Linked DNA regions of Cricetulus griseus. The protein of the gene in region 1 interacts with the protein of each later gene in a biochemical or structural test. Links are inferred from orthologs where the notes say so. Each region holds a gene or a part of one and is shown in the gene's direction. Other genes may lie near its edges.

Region 1 (6,202 bases):
AAAGAAATAAAGAGACCAGGTTGGTCTCAAACTCACAGAGATCTGCTTGCCTCTCCTCTCCAAGTGCTGGATTTAAAGGCATGTGCCACCCTGCCAGGCTTTTTTTCTCTTATTTTTCTTTTTTCTTCTCTGTCTCCACTAGCGGGGCTTTGAGATTGGCCTGACTGGGCAATGGGGAATGAAGAAATAACAGACATGCATAGGGGGTTATGGTGGGCCGTGTGTTCTGAGGGAGACACACTAGCAGCCTGGAAACTCAACCAGTTTATTACTTGAGCTGAAGAAGGAGAGTTTGCTAATCTCTTTAGGGGGTCTCTTCGGGAAGCAGTTTCATGCTTCAGTCATCTGAAATTAAAAAATGCACACCCTGTTGGTGTTGCACTCACTCATGGAAGGCCTTCCCATTCGTCTGAGCCTGACCTGGAAAAGGTCCTGCCATACCCACAGGTCTGGGGGGTTGGGGTCCTTGACATGGCTATGTTAATATCAATAATACACATTCACTCAAGACTTCACTCACTCCCCATGCCTTTCTTGTCTCTCTGTGCTTTGTTCTACGTGGTGTGTGTGTGTGTGTGTGTGTGTGTGTGTGTGTACTGGGATTGAACCTTGGAGTCCTCGTCATCCTAAACAACATGGTACCACTGAGATACACCCCTACTCCTCTACTGCTTTAAAAACAAAACAAAACAAAAAACAGGGCTGTAGAAATGGCTGCAGTATTCCTCTTTCAGATGACCTGAATTTGGTTCTCAGCACCCACATCAGGCAGCTCAGAGCTGTCAGTAACTCCAGATCCAGGGAACACCTCTGGCCCCTGGGCACCTGCACTCAGGTATGTATACCAGTACATAGATGCACACATAATTAAACACATCATTAAAATATTTTTCTTTAGAAAAAAAACAAAGGCAATGGAAGCCGGGGAGGTAGCTCACTACAAAACATGAAGGCCTGAGTTCAGATTCTCAGCACCAGCACAAAAGCCAATTGTGGTGGTGATGCCTGTGTGAAACCCCAGTGCAGGAGGTCCTGGGAGGTGGAGACGGGCAGAAATAGTGAACTCTAGATTCAGTGACACAATATCCTACACTGGTACGTAGGCACACAGGGATATACTACATATAGACAAGTCCTTGAAATGAGGCAAATACATTTTTTAAATCATGGCAGAGCTGGGCATGGTGACACACGCGTTTCATCCCAGCACCTGGGAGGCAAGAGGCAGGTGGATCTACATAGTGAGTTCCAGGACAGCCAGAACTACTTGTGAGAACCTGTCTCGAAAAGATAAAACAAAGAAAGAAAGACTGGAAAGAGGTTGGGTAAGGGAAAGGAAGGTCAGGCTATTGCCGTAACCAGCAAGGGCCAGGCAAGGGAACCCTGGACACGCAGTCCTTTCCCGTCTAGTCCCGCCCTGAGACGTGGGCAACGCGAAGTCCCGCCCATTCGCCCCTTCCTGGGAGCCGGAGGCACACCGGCTCCTCCCTCAAGGCATGATCTTTGCTGGGGACCAAGACGGAAACTGGGTGGGGGACCTGAAGGGAAAGAGGGTCGGAAAAGGGCTGGCAGTGGGCCCTAGTGTCCTCTGCGCCCAAGTTCAAGTTTGCCAGTTTCTCGGGGGTTCCATTCATTTCGGGCCAAGACGACAGCTGCCCTCACCCCCACATTAGCGTAGCTTTGTGCAGGCAGGCTCCGGGGAAGCAGTGCCCTGAGTAGAGCGACCACCTGGAGGCCGCGGAGCTCATGGCCGGAGGGAGAGGGACAATTAACTTTATGTCCGGAAACCTTGGATGAATGTTTGAGACCATCTAACTGATGATGTGGGGAGCACAGGATAAAATTCTGCAAGTAGTAGGATTTGGAGGTTTGAGAAAATAAGTGGCGAGTAGGTTCTGAGAGGCGCAGATTCAGGGTCTGGGTGTTTAGCTACAGCTGAGGTGCGAGTGCACACTCAGGGATTCTAGAGGACCAGGTTGGATAGGGTCTAGGTGGCTAGGACAACATTTTGAATGAGGGCCCGGGGTCCCCAGGTGAATTTGGGGGCCAAACATCAAGGTCAGTGGCCCCGGGACCCAAGCGTTAGGGAACTCTGGCTGGGCGCCCGCAGGCGCCTCCAGGCGGCGCCGCGGGGGACCGGGTGGGGGCCTGTGGCCGGCCCGGGGTGGAGAAGCCGGGGGGTCGGGGTCCCTCCCCCTGGCGCGGGCTCAGGAATCCGCCGAAGGGCGGGCGGAGGCGCCGGGGTGGGCCGCGGCGGGCGGGCGGGCGGGCGGGCGGGCGGGCGGGGGCGCTTCCTGGGGCCGCGCGTCCAGCGAGCTGCGCGGTCCGGTCCGTCCGTCCGCCCGCAGGCACTGCCGGAGTCAACGAGTGAGTGGCCGCCAGCGGAGGGAGGGCGCGGGCCGTGTCGCGGCCGGGTCCGCGCTACGCCAAGCCGAGAGGCCTGCGCTCCACGACTCGCGGGGCGGGGGCGGGGCGGTCCGGGATTGCGGGCCTGCGAGCCCCAGGCCTGCGAAAGGACTCGGCCCCCAACTCTGGAAGGCTCCGGTGCTCCCAGCACAGTTCTGAGACAGCCGGGAATCCAGTGTCCCCTTCCTGATACAGGGAATGGGGGGTGTCGTGGCAGAGGCCCCTGACCCCTGCCCACTACCTCCCAGCCCCAGGATGCTCCCTTTTGCCTCCTGCCTTCCCGGGTCTTTACTGCTCTGGGCGCTCCTGCTGTTGCTCTTGGGAGCAGCGTCTCCACAGGATTCGGAAGAGCCGGACAGCTACACGGTGGGGACCAGCTTGGGATGGGATGGGATGGGATGGGATGGGATGGGATGGGATGGGATGGGAAGGACCAGGATCTTGGGGTGCCTGGGGAAGACTCTCCTCTGCTTGGTTGGTGGAAGACTGGGAGTCATTGTGTGAATTGACCCGAGCATAACTGAGCTCAGGCCCTGGCCTTGTTCTGGCTAGTTGGAGGAGACTTCCAGAGTGGTCACTGGCCACTTGGGGTCCCCTTCCAGGAATGTACAGATGGCTATGAGTGGGACGCAGACAGCCAGCACTGCCGGGGTGAGTATGCCTGGGATACTAGCCATTTTCAGGAACTGGGAAGGCAACTATTGTTTCCCAGGGATAACCTGGCTCCTAGACCAGCTGCAGGAACCTAATGGCCTTTTCACTGTCCAGCTTGGCTGAGCCAAAGCCAGCCACTCAATTAGGAGTCCTACCCCTTCAAGAAGTGCAATGAACTCTGCCTCTATTTGCAGTAGACAGGAGAGCACCTGGTGACTGCCCAGAGAAACGGAGATCTGCACACCTTCCGCCAACTGCCCTCTACTCTCCTAGCCCAGCTCTTTATCCCAGTGCAACCTGGGAGAGCAGTACACACTCTGTGGGTTTGGAGGCCTGCAAATTACTCTGGGGCAGAGGTAGAGGCAGGGTTTTGAGGAGGAATGGAAACTCACTTGGAGGCAGGAGAATAGGGACAACGGCGAAAATAGGTGGCCCTATCCCCAGTCCTGCAAATCACTGGGAGGGGTTCTGGGTCATCAGCCTTAATTTGCTGAGCAGAGAGAAAACCTTGCTCTGTTGCTCAGCTTAGAGAAGGCCAAGCTGGGATTCTGCCTCCCACTACCTCCAGGGCCAGCCCAGGTGACTGGCTGTGCCCAGCAGGCCCCTTTCTGCAGATGTCAACGAGTGCCTGACCATCCCCGAGGCCTGCAAGGGCGAAATGAAATGCATCAACCACTATGGGGGCTATTTGTGTCTGCCTCGATCTGCGGCTGTCATTAATGATCTACATGGCGAAGGCCCTCCACCACCAGTGCCCCCTGCTCAACACCCCAATCCTTGCCCACCAGGCTATGAACCTGATGAACAGGAGAGCTGTGTGGGTAAGTGGGAGCCATGCTGGCTGGCACCAATGCTTCCAGACCTCTTACATGTCTTTTTAAAATTAATTTTGTATTTAGTGTATAAAGTAAAAAGAAAAGTAAAAACCAAAAGAAAACAAAGGGGGGCGCTGGAGAGATGGCTTAGAGGTAAAGAGCACTGGCTGCTCTTCCAGAGGACCTGGGTTCAATTCCCAGCAACCACATGGTGGCTCACAACTGTCTGTAATTCTAATTCAGGGGACCTGGTACCCATGGCAAAACACCAATGCACATAAAATAAAAAAGTAAATTTAAAAATAAATAAAAGAAGCAAAGTGAAAGTTTTTAAAATCATGGTATCATTCTCCTGACACACTTCATATTTGTTCTCTCTCATTGTCCCTCCCTAGCACCTTGTTCTTCGAGATAGGATTTCTCTGTGTAGCCCTGGCTGTCCTGGAACTCACTCTGTAGTCCAGGTTGGCCTAGAACTTAGAGATCTGCCTGCCTCTGACTCCCTAGTGCTGAGTGCTGGGACTAAAGGTGTGTGCCACCACTGCAGGACTGTGTACTTTGTTTTTTGAGACAGAGTCTCTGGGTTTGATCCCCAGCACACACTTGTAATCCCACCACCAGGGAGGTAGAGAAAAGAAGATTGGAAGTTAAAGGTTACCTCAGTTGCATAAGGAGTTTGAGGCCACCCTGAGCTACATGAGAGCCTATCTCAAAAGCAGTAACTAACATAAATAAAGTAATTTTCCACACTAAATACCGCAGACCTCATGTTCCTTCCTTGCTGAGAGAAGCCTCTGGCTCCTCAGAGAAACATCTGAACCCTCACCTGCAGCAGGCCTGGTGCATGGTCTGCTGGCCCAGGAAGTCCCCAGCAGCTCCCTCACTTCCTGTGCAGACATGCTAGAGCTCTGCTCCCAGCCTCTTGCCAGCTCTTTATCAGGTCTCGGCCTTGGAAACCGCTGGCTTTGGAGGAGGGAAGATCCTGGTCTAGAGTCAGCTGAGGGTGTGAATGGACAACGCCTCATTTATTTTTAAGCCAGTTCTAGCTGGCTTGGAACTCTATAGCTCTGGCTGGCTTGGAACTCAGAGGGATCCTCCTGCTTCTGCCTCCTGGGTGTTAGAATTAAAAGTGTGTGCCACCAGACCTGACAAGGCCTTGTTTTATATGCTCAGCTAATGGGTGCTTTTCCTGGTGGACTGTTTTCTTGTGCTGTTGGGAGGACCTATATCCTATCTTCATATTTTGGTGCCAGCTACCCATGTGCCCATGTGAATGAAGTCTGGTGTGAGCCACCTCCTTCCAAGTTGATGTGCTGACATGGTCAGTAACATGTGGGACTCTGGGTAAGGGCTGCATGGTGTCTCCCACAGATGTGGACGAGTGCGCCCAGGCTTTGCATGACTGTCGCCCTAGCCAAGACTGTCATAACCTGCCTGGTTCCTACCAATGCACCTGCCCTGATGGTTACCGAAAAGTTGGGCCCGAATGCGTGGGTGAGTTCAGAGAGTGGCTTTCCTAGTTCTTGCTTTGTGACTTTGGTCTGACCTTATCCTTATCCTAGTCCTCTGCTGCTGGTACCCTCCTGTCATTAGACACAGAAGACTATATGTCGGTGGCTCAACTCAGGTCCCTGAAAAAGACAGGAGTAAGCATGCGTGCTGAGGCCTTTGTCTCGGCCTGCTCAGGCCCCACCTGACTTGTGTCCTGCTTACCCCTCCCCTGCCTCCATTGCAGACATAGACGAGTGTCGCTACCGATATTGCCAGCATCGATGTGTGAACCTGCCAGGCTCTTTTCGCTGCCAGTGTGAGCCAGGATTCCAGCTGGGTCCTAACAACCGTTCTTGTGTGGGTGAGACTCTGGGGTCCTAGGTAGAGATGTATGGGATAGGGGCAGGATCTCCTCACTAAGCCCATGTAGAGTGGGACTCTGGGCAGTGCCTCTGCTTTCACCACTCCTGTTTTCTCTGGCATCCTCAGATGTGAATGAGTGTGACATGGGAGCCCCATGTGAGCAACGCTGCTTCAACTCCTATGGGACCTTCTTGTGTCGTTGTAACCAAGGCTATGAACTGCACCGGGATGGCTTCTCCTGCAGTGGTGAGAGTCCACTTGTGCTGCTGGATAGTGCATTGGTCCTCCCAGGACCAACTCTAGTCACACAGTCGTTTGTTTGAGGCTTCCATGTCTCATTCTCTGTATCCTGAGCTGGTCGCTGAGGGTGGGGATGCTATGGGAGGCCCTACTGAAGCTTGCTGGAGAGACAGGAAAGGATGTAGGTGCCAGTCTTCCTGGAAGTTGAGTTGACTTGCACTGGAATCCTGCAC
Region 2 (6,397 bases), on another chromosome or scaffold:
TTTTTTTAACTCTATCTCCCTTACCAGGTCTAGAGAAATCAAGTAGTTAATTTTATGCTGCTTAGCCAGACAGTAAAATGACAACTTGCATTATCTTAGAGATGGCTTTGTTCAGAAAAGCATTCACTGTTGAGTTGCCATGAGGGAATTTGTACCTAAAGTTTATGTTCATCGTATAGGCAATAGATTTACCACATGTGGGCAAAATTCTGTGTCCTATCCCTTGGTGACCAAGGTATATGGTCGTTTACAGACTCCATCTAACTTGACTCAAAAACCAGACCCATGTGATTTAACTAGCGGAAAGAAACAGGCCCACCCCCCTCTATGTCAGTCAGGATTCTCCTGTGACAGATGAAAGAAACTATGACTATGTTAATCCACAAAAGAATGTACCAGAGAACCTGAAGGGAATGTTGAAGAGCCAGAGGATGTCACTTTTCTAGCAGTGGGAGGAGGAATATTTTTGGCCATGTGACCAACTTGACATTAAGATTCTAGGAAGATGGTTTAACTAGGACAAACTCAGATCTCATGACCAGTTCTTGAAGAAGTCTCATGAATGCCTTGTCAGTCCAAACTCACTACAGGGGTAAGGGGTAAGGGTGGGGTGGAGGTGGGGTGTGAGAGATCTGGGGCAGAGTTTCCCAAGGAACAGAAATAAAGGGGACATGGATATGAAGCAGTCAAACTAGAAGATGGCCACCAAACCACCTCGTGATCAGTTATGGAAAGACAGAGATGAAGAGGTGAGATTAAAGTGTGTCTAGACAACAGCTCAATGATGGGACCAATAAAAATGGATATTAAACTGTGGTTTTTGCCTTGTAGTTTAAATAGGGCCACTTAGTGGCAATTTCTCTTTGAATTTGGTTCAGAGCTTCCCAGACCCTGAGTGGGATGTGAATAGCTGGTCTATTAAGCATCTCTCTCCAGTTGCCCACTACCCTCCTACTCATTCTCCTGGCCACACCTACTGCCTTCTTTGCACTCAACTCTGACCTCAAAGGCTCTTTCTCTTGTAATGCCTTTGCTTAGATTGGAAGAGGAATTAAAAGCTGCTGAATACTTTACTGGGTTTCAATATTTAATATTGGTAATTTGAGTTGGACGAGTGAAGTCAAACCTTATTAGACACATGAGAGAAAGAGTAAGAAATCAAATAAAAAGGTCACTTGAAGACGACTTTGAGCACTCTTTTGACCTTCCTCTAGTTCTCCCATACAGTACAAATGAGGCCGGTTATGAGACAGAAAGGCACACACACACACACACACACACACACATACACACACACACACACACACACACACAGAGAGAGAGAGAGAGAGAGAGAGAGGGGGGGGTTATTCACTGCTTCAACGTAGCAAACTTTGTTCCCTGTAAATTTTCACTTTGGTTATTAAAATACTCACTGTAGGAAACAGATTTGTAACCCATTTCTCATATTACCTACAGCCAGAAAAACAAAATTTGATATCCTGGGGTTTATTTGCTGAGGGCGCTTCCCATAAAAGCGGGGTGAGTGTGCATTGGGAAATTCGTCTGGTTAACTTCTCTATGGATAAGCGTTAGTCACAACCTCCCCCATCTCAACAGGCACACTTTGGCCCCATCGCTCTCCCCACCTCTTGACTTCCCGCCTCTCCGGGGCTGGTGACCTAATAGCATTTTTCTTCATGCATATTTTGGCTTGAGCCCATGGCCTGGCTGCCTTCGCCTGTCTGAGTCTTTTGAAATTCCTGCATGTTCGGCCCAGATTAAGTCGAGTGTGTCTCAGGATGTGTGTTCCGTTTTGTTCTTTCCCCTTAACTCTCCCTGTGCAACGTGTCTGGGGAGGAGGGGAGTGGGGCGGAGAGGGGAGGAGGGGCAGAGTGGAGGAGCTGTCCGCCTCGCACGTTTCCAATCGCATTACGTGAACAAATAGCGGAGGGGCAGCGGGGCCAGAACGGCTTGTGTAACTGCAAACTTGTCAGAAAGTTTAAAATCTCCCCCCTTCTTTTACTCCAGACACTGTGCGCTCTCTGGGACCGTCGTGCGCCGCTCCCCGTCGCCTTTCAGGACTGGGAAAGCGGAGAGAAGGACCGTGCCACGTCCGACGGCCGCCTGGGCTGGGGGCAGGGTCTGCTGTCCGTCCTTGGCACAACGCACTGCGACCCATCCCCGCGCCTCACCCTCCTCCCGGCCCTGCCTCAAGAGGTCTCCTTCCTTCGCGGGATCAGAGTTCTGTCTGCATTTTCTCCTAGCCAGGTCCTCCCCGAGAAGGGACTATCCAGAAGAGCCATGCGTTTCGCCTGGACCATGCTTCTGTTGGGGCCGCTGCAGCTCTGTCCCCTTCTACGCTGCGCCCCACAGGCCCCGCGCGAGCCACCCGCCGCCCCGGGCGCCTGGCGCCAGACAATCCAATGGGAGAACAATGGGCAGGTGTTCAGTCTGCTGAGCCTGGGGGCACAGTATCAGCCCCAGAGACGCCGCGACCCCAGCGCCACTGCCCCAGGACCCGACGGCAATGCCGCCCCGCAGCCGCGCACGCCCATTCTGCTGCTGCGTGACAACCGCACGGCCACTGCCCGCGCGCGGACACCAAGCCCGTCTGGGGTCGCCCCCGGCCGTCCCCGGCCCGCTGCCCGCCACTGGTTCCAAGCTGGCTTCTCGCCGTCGGGGGCTCGCGATGGAGCTTCACGGCGCGCGGGGAACCGGACTGAGTCGCCTCAGCCCCCGCAACTCAGTAACCTGAGGCCTCCCAGTCACGTAGACCGCATGGTGGGCGACGACCCCTACAATCCCTACAAATACTCCGACGACAATCCCTATTATAACTACTATGACACATATGAGAGGCCCCGGCCTGGGAGCAGGTACCGACCCGGATACGGCACCGGTTACTTCCAGTATGGTAAGCACCACGCAGTTCCACCGGATGCACCTGGGCTCCCTTACTGCAGGTCGATGATGTCTAGACGTGGCGGTCTGAGAGCAGCGGGCTCGATCCCCGCAGACCCGACCCCCCTGCTTCCCCATCGCCTGCCCTGCCAGCTCTGGAATCCGATGGAAACCGCTCCCCTGGCTCCGGGGCTTCCTCTTCCCGTTCCCTGCTAGCGTTGGAGGTCCCTGCTCTTCCACACACTCAGCCCCACCCTGCGGACTTGATGGGCAAAGGGTGACAAAGAGAGGCCCTGGAGTCAGAGGTCACCTCCTTGTCTTATTTTTAGGTCTTCCGGACCTGGTGCCGGACCCCTACTACATCCAGGCATCTACATATGTGCAGAAGATGTCTATGTACAACTTGAGATGCGCTGCGGAAGAGAACTGCCTGGCCAGGTATGGATTTCCACAGCCCGGCTCCCCATTTTGATCCCGGGATCACCCTGACGCCTAGTTCTGACTGCTATGTTAGTGCAGACAAGGGCTAGGAAGTGGGGCAAGGGCTGGGAAAGTGGGACGTGACCTCCTGGGCATGCTGACTTGGACAGAAAGTTAAATTGGAATGTTTTTATGGGTGCCGCCTCATTAAGAGGCTCGTATCGGGGGAGGGGGCAAAAATTCGTATTCTGGAGACTGGGTCTCAGGTTCTTTCCCAAGGCTCCTATTAGAAATTGGCGCCAACTATTTCCAACAGCTTTCTATAAAAGAGGAACTCAACAATCAACAACCCCGGAAAAATAGAAAGGAAGCGCTCGTTATTATTCTCCAATGGTCTAGGGGTGTCTTCGCCATGGTGGCGCCCCCCATTGGTAAAGACCGCATTCCACATTTCTTTCAGACCATGATTAACTGGGTTGTTTTGGTATAAGACCATGAGCAAGAATTATATTTTCCGTCAGTCCCAAAATAAAACAGCTATTCTGGACTTGGAATTCTCCGATTTTGCGGCTGGCAACCAGCAGAGGGAGCATAGGATGCTTGCATAGTTCTAGTGGTACTTTAAGTAAAATGGGTCACCAACAGTATTCCAAGCCAGACAGACAAAAATATAGTACCATCCCAGAAGTGTTTATATAAACATTTTTTCCACGTTGACTTTTGTACAACCGTGTGGCTACAGGAAGAAATTCAAGCTCATTTTCATTCCCGAGTCTTGCATGATCCACACCACTGAACCCACGGAAGATATTAAAGAAGGGTTCCCTGTCTTATAATGAAGCATAAAGCTGTTTATCTATCTATCTATCTATCTATCTATCTATCTATCTATCTATCTATCTACCTATCTATCTAAAGCTAGCTGCCTTACTTTGGAGTGTTTCTCCACTTTGTATCTTAGGTCTATCAACTTATTAATAGATATCTATGGATTTTTTGGCACATGATCATTACTATAGCAATTTCATAGTTTTTAGATGTAGTATCTTGTCAATAATTTTTTTCAGTGGAAATCCTAATTTCTGGCTCTGTAGGTTTTTTACTGTTGTTCTTCATCCACTCATTCACCACATAGTCACTATGTTTTTATCCTTCCAGGATGGGACAGGAGCTCAAGATTGTCTCTTTGAGCCATGAGGCTAGTTGGGGAAAGGGGGACAGTGTGCCACTACCATGTAATGGTGAGCTGTTTGTTCTAGTTTTGTTTTTTCATCGGTATTCACTGGATCTAATGTTTCTTTTCTAAACTCCCAGTTCAGCATATAGGGCGGATGTCAGAGACTATGATCACAGGGTACTGCTACGATTTCCCCAAAGAGTGAAAAACCAAGGCACATCTGACTTTTTACCAAGCCGTCCTCGATATTCCTGGGAGTGGCACAGCTGTCACCAGTAAGTGGATGGGCCTCTCCGTACTTCTGGGATTCTCTTACATTTTTCAGACGATTATTCACATGCCTTACCTAAAGCTAGAGATTTGGTATTGTTTATACTTAGAACTTCTACTATTCGGTTTGATATCATCAACGGATGTTAAACCTTAAAGACAGCCCCTTCACCACTAAATCCCATTATCTTTGTACCTGGAAAGTTAAGCCAGGCTCTTTAAAACTGTTGAAAGGACACAACAGTGGCTGTCAGTACAATCTACTATTATGTAGAAATAGCTGCTATAGATAAGATCATCTACAAGCTCATCCAAAGCTGGTTAGCCTTAACAAGCATTTAATAAATGCACAGCATCTTTTACCTATAGGATTCAGAGACCATTCTCAATGGAACACACACGAGATAGATTTCAAGAACCCATCCACTTCCACCTTTTGAAAGGCCCATATCAGCTAGAGTGGTTGCCCTACCCTTTCTAAATTTAAAGGTTTTCATTTTTAAATTGCACGTGGTTATACCATCATTTGCCTAGGTAATGTGCCCAACTGTTCAGTGCCAGGAAACCCTGAAGTGTGGTCTCCTACTTACAGAAATTCAAACCCTTCCTCCTTGTAGCCTCTCCCCCTTGTGAGATGAGAAAGAGCTCAGAAGCCTTCTAGTTAATGAATAGAGAAAATTTAATATGCACAATTTGCATATTAAAATAAAAATACCTTATTTTGAAATGAAAGTTTGTGCTGTTTAAATAATAGTAGTAGAAAAACCCAGTTATTTTCCTCTTGCATTTCCAAAGAGATTTTACAACGTTGTCACTCTAGTCTTTAGACTTTCATAGCAAGCCCTCCAGAGTAAAACTCTTGTCTGAAATCATCATCATAACACCAACATCAGCAGTGTGAGCCAAAGAAATAAACATGAGACTCCACAGGTTACAAGCATAGATAATGAAGTTTATCTTAATTTAATGTTCAAAGACAAAACCCTGTATAAAGGAACAGATACTCTGTCTTTACCAAGAAATAAAGTTAAAAGTTTGCAATTTTGATACATTTATGTCTTTCTTGAAAAAAAATCTAGCACGAATATTTCTTCAAGAAGATAAACTTGGTAGAGAGGTCTGATGGCACATGCGTTTAGTCCCAGAGCTTGGGAGAAAGAGGCAGGTAGATTTCTGAATTCAAGGCCAAAATGGTCTACAGAGTAAGTTTCAGGACAGCCAGAGCTACACTGTGAGACCCTGTCCAAAAACAAAAACAAAAACAGGGGTGGGAAGTGGGTTGGGCTGGAGAGATGGTTCAGTATTTATTTATTTATTTATTTATTTATTTATTTATTTATTTATTTGTTGAGACTGGGTTTTTCTGTGTAGCTTTGTAGACCAGATTGGACTGGAGCTCACAGAGATCTGCCTGTCTCTGCCTCCCCACCACTGCCTGGCTGAGATGGCTCAGTGTTAAGAGTACTTGCTGCTCTAACAGAGGACCCAGGTTTGATTCCCAGTACCCACATGGTGGTTCACAACCATCCATATCTCATCTCCAGTTTCAAGGATTGAAAGCCCTCTTCTGACTTCCTCAGGCACCAGGCATGTACATGGTGCACATATAACTTGCAGGCAAAACATTCACACACATAAAATAAATAA

The links. The genes of interacting proteins can lie anywhere in the genome.
Region 2: the proteins of Efemp2 (region 1) and protein-lysine 6-oxidase form a complex in vitro, tested with the Homo sapiens proteins (2 studies listed by IntAct, with this or other methods). The link is inferred for Cricetulus griseus from reciprocal best matches to the Homo sapiens genes EFEMP2 and LOX.

The regions. Positions count from the first base shown.
Region 1 is NC_048596.1:53,863,059-53,869,260, reverse strand, and holds the start of Efemp2 (EGF-containing fibulin-like extracellular matrix protein 2 precursor), read left to right. Parts: upstream 1-2,371; 5' UTR 2,372-2,661; coding exon 2,662-2,772; intron 2,773-3,008; coding exon 3,009-3,057; intron 3,058-3,674; coding exon 3,675-3,881; intron 3,882-5,246; coding exon 5,247-5,369; intron 5,370-5,610; coding exon 5,611-5,727; intron 5,728-5,855; coding exon 5,856-5,975; intron 5,976-6,202. UniProt on the Homo sapiens protein: Plays a crucial role in elastic fiber formation in tissue, and in the formation of ultrastructural connections between elastic laminae and smooth muscle cells in the aorta, therefore participates in terminal differentiation and maturation of smooth muscle cell (SMC) and in the mechanical properties and wall integrity maintenance of the aorta.
Region 2 is NC_048595.1:186,109,522-186,115,918, forward strand, and holds the start of protein-lysine 6-oxidase, read left to right. Parts: upstream 1-2,283; coding exon 2,284-2,896; intron 2,897-3,212; coding exon 3,213-3,321; intron 3,322-4,617; coding exon 4,618-4,755; intron 4,756-6,397. UniProt on the Homo sapiens protein: Responsible for the post-translational oxidative deamination of peptidyl lysine residues in precursors to fibrous collagen and elastin. Regulator of Ras expression. May play a role in tumor suppression. Plays a role in the aortic wall architecture.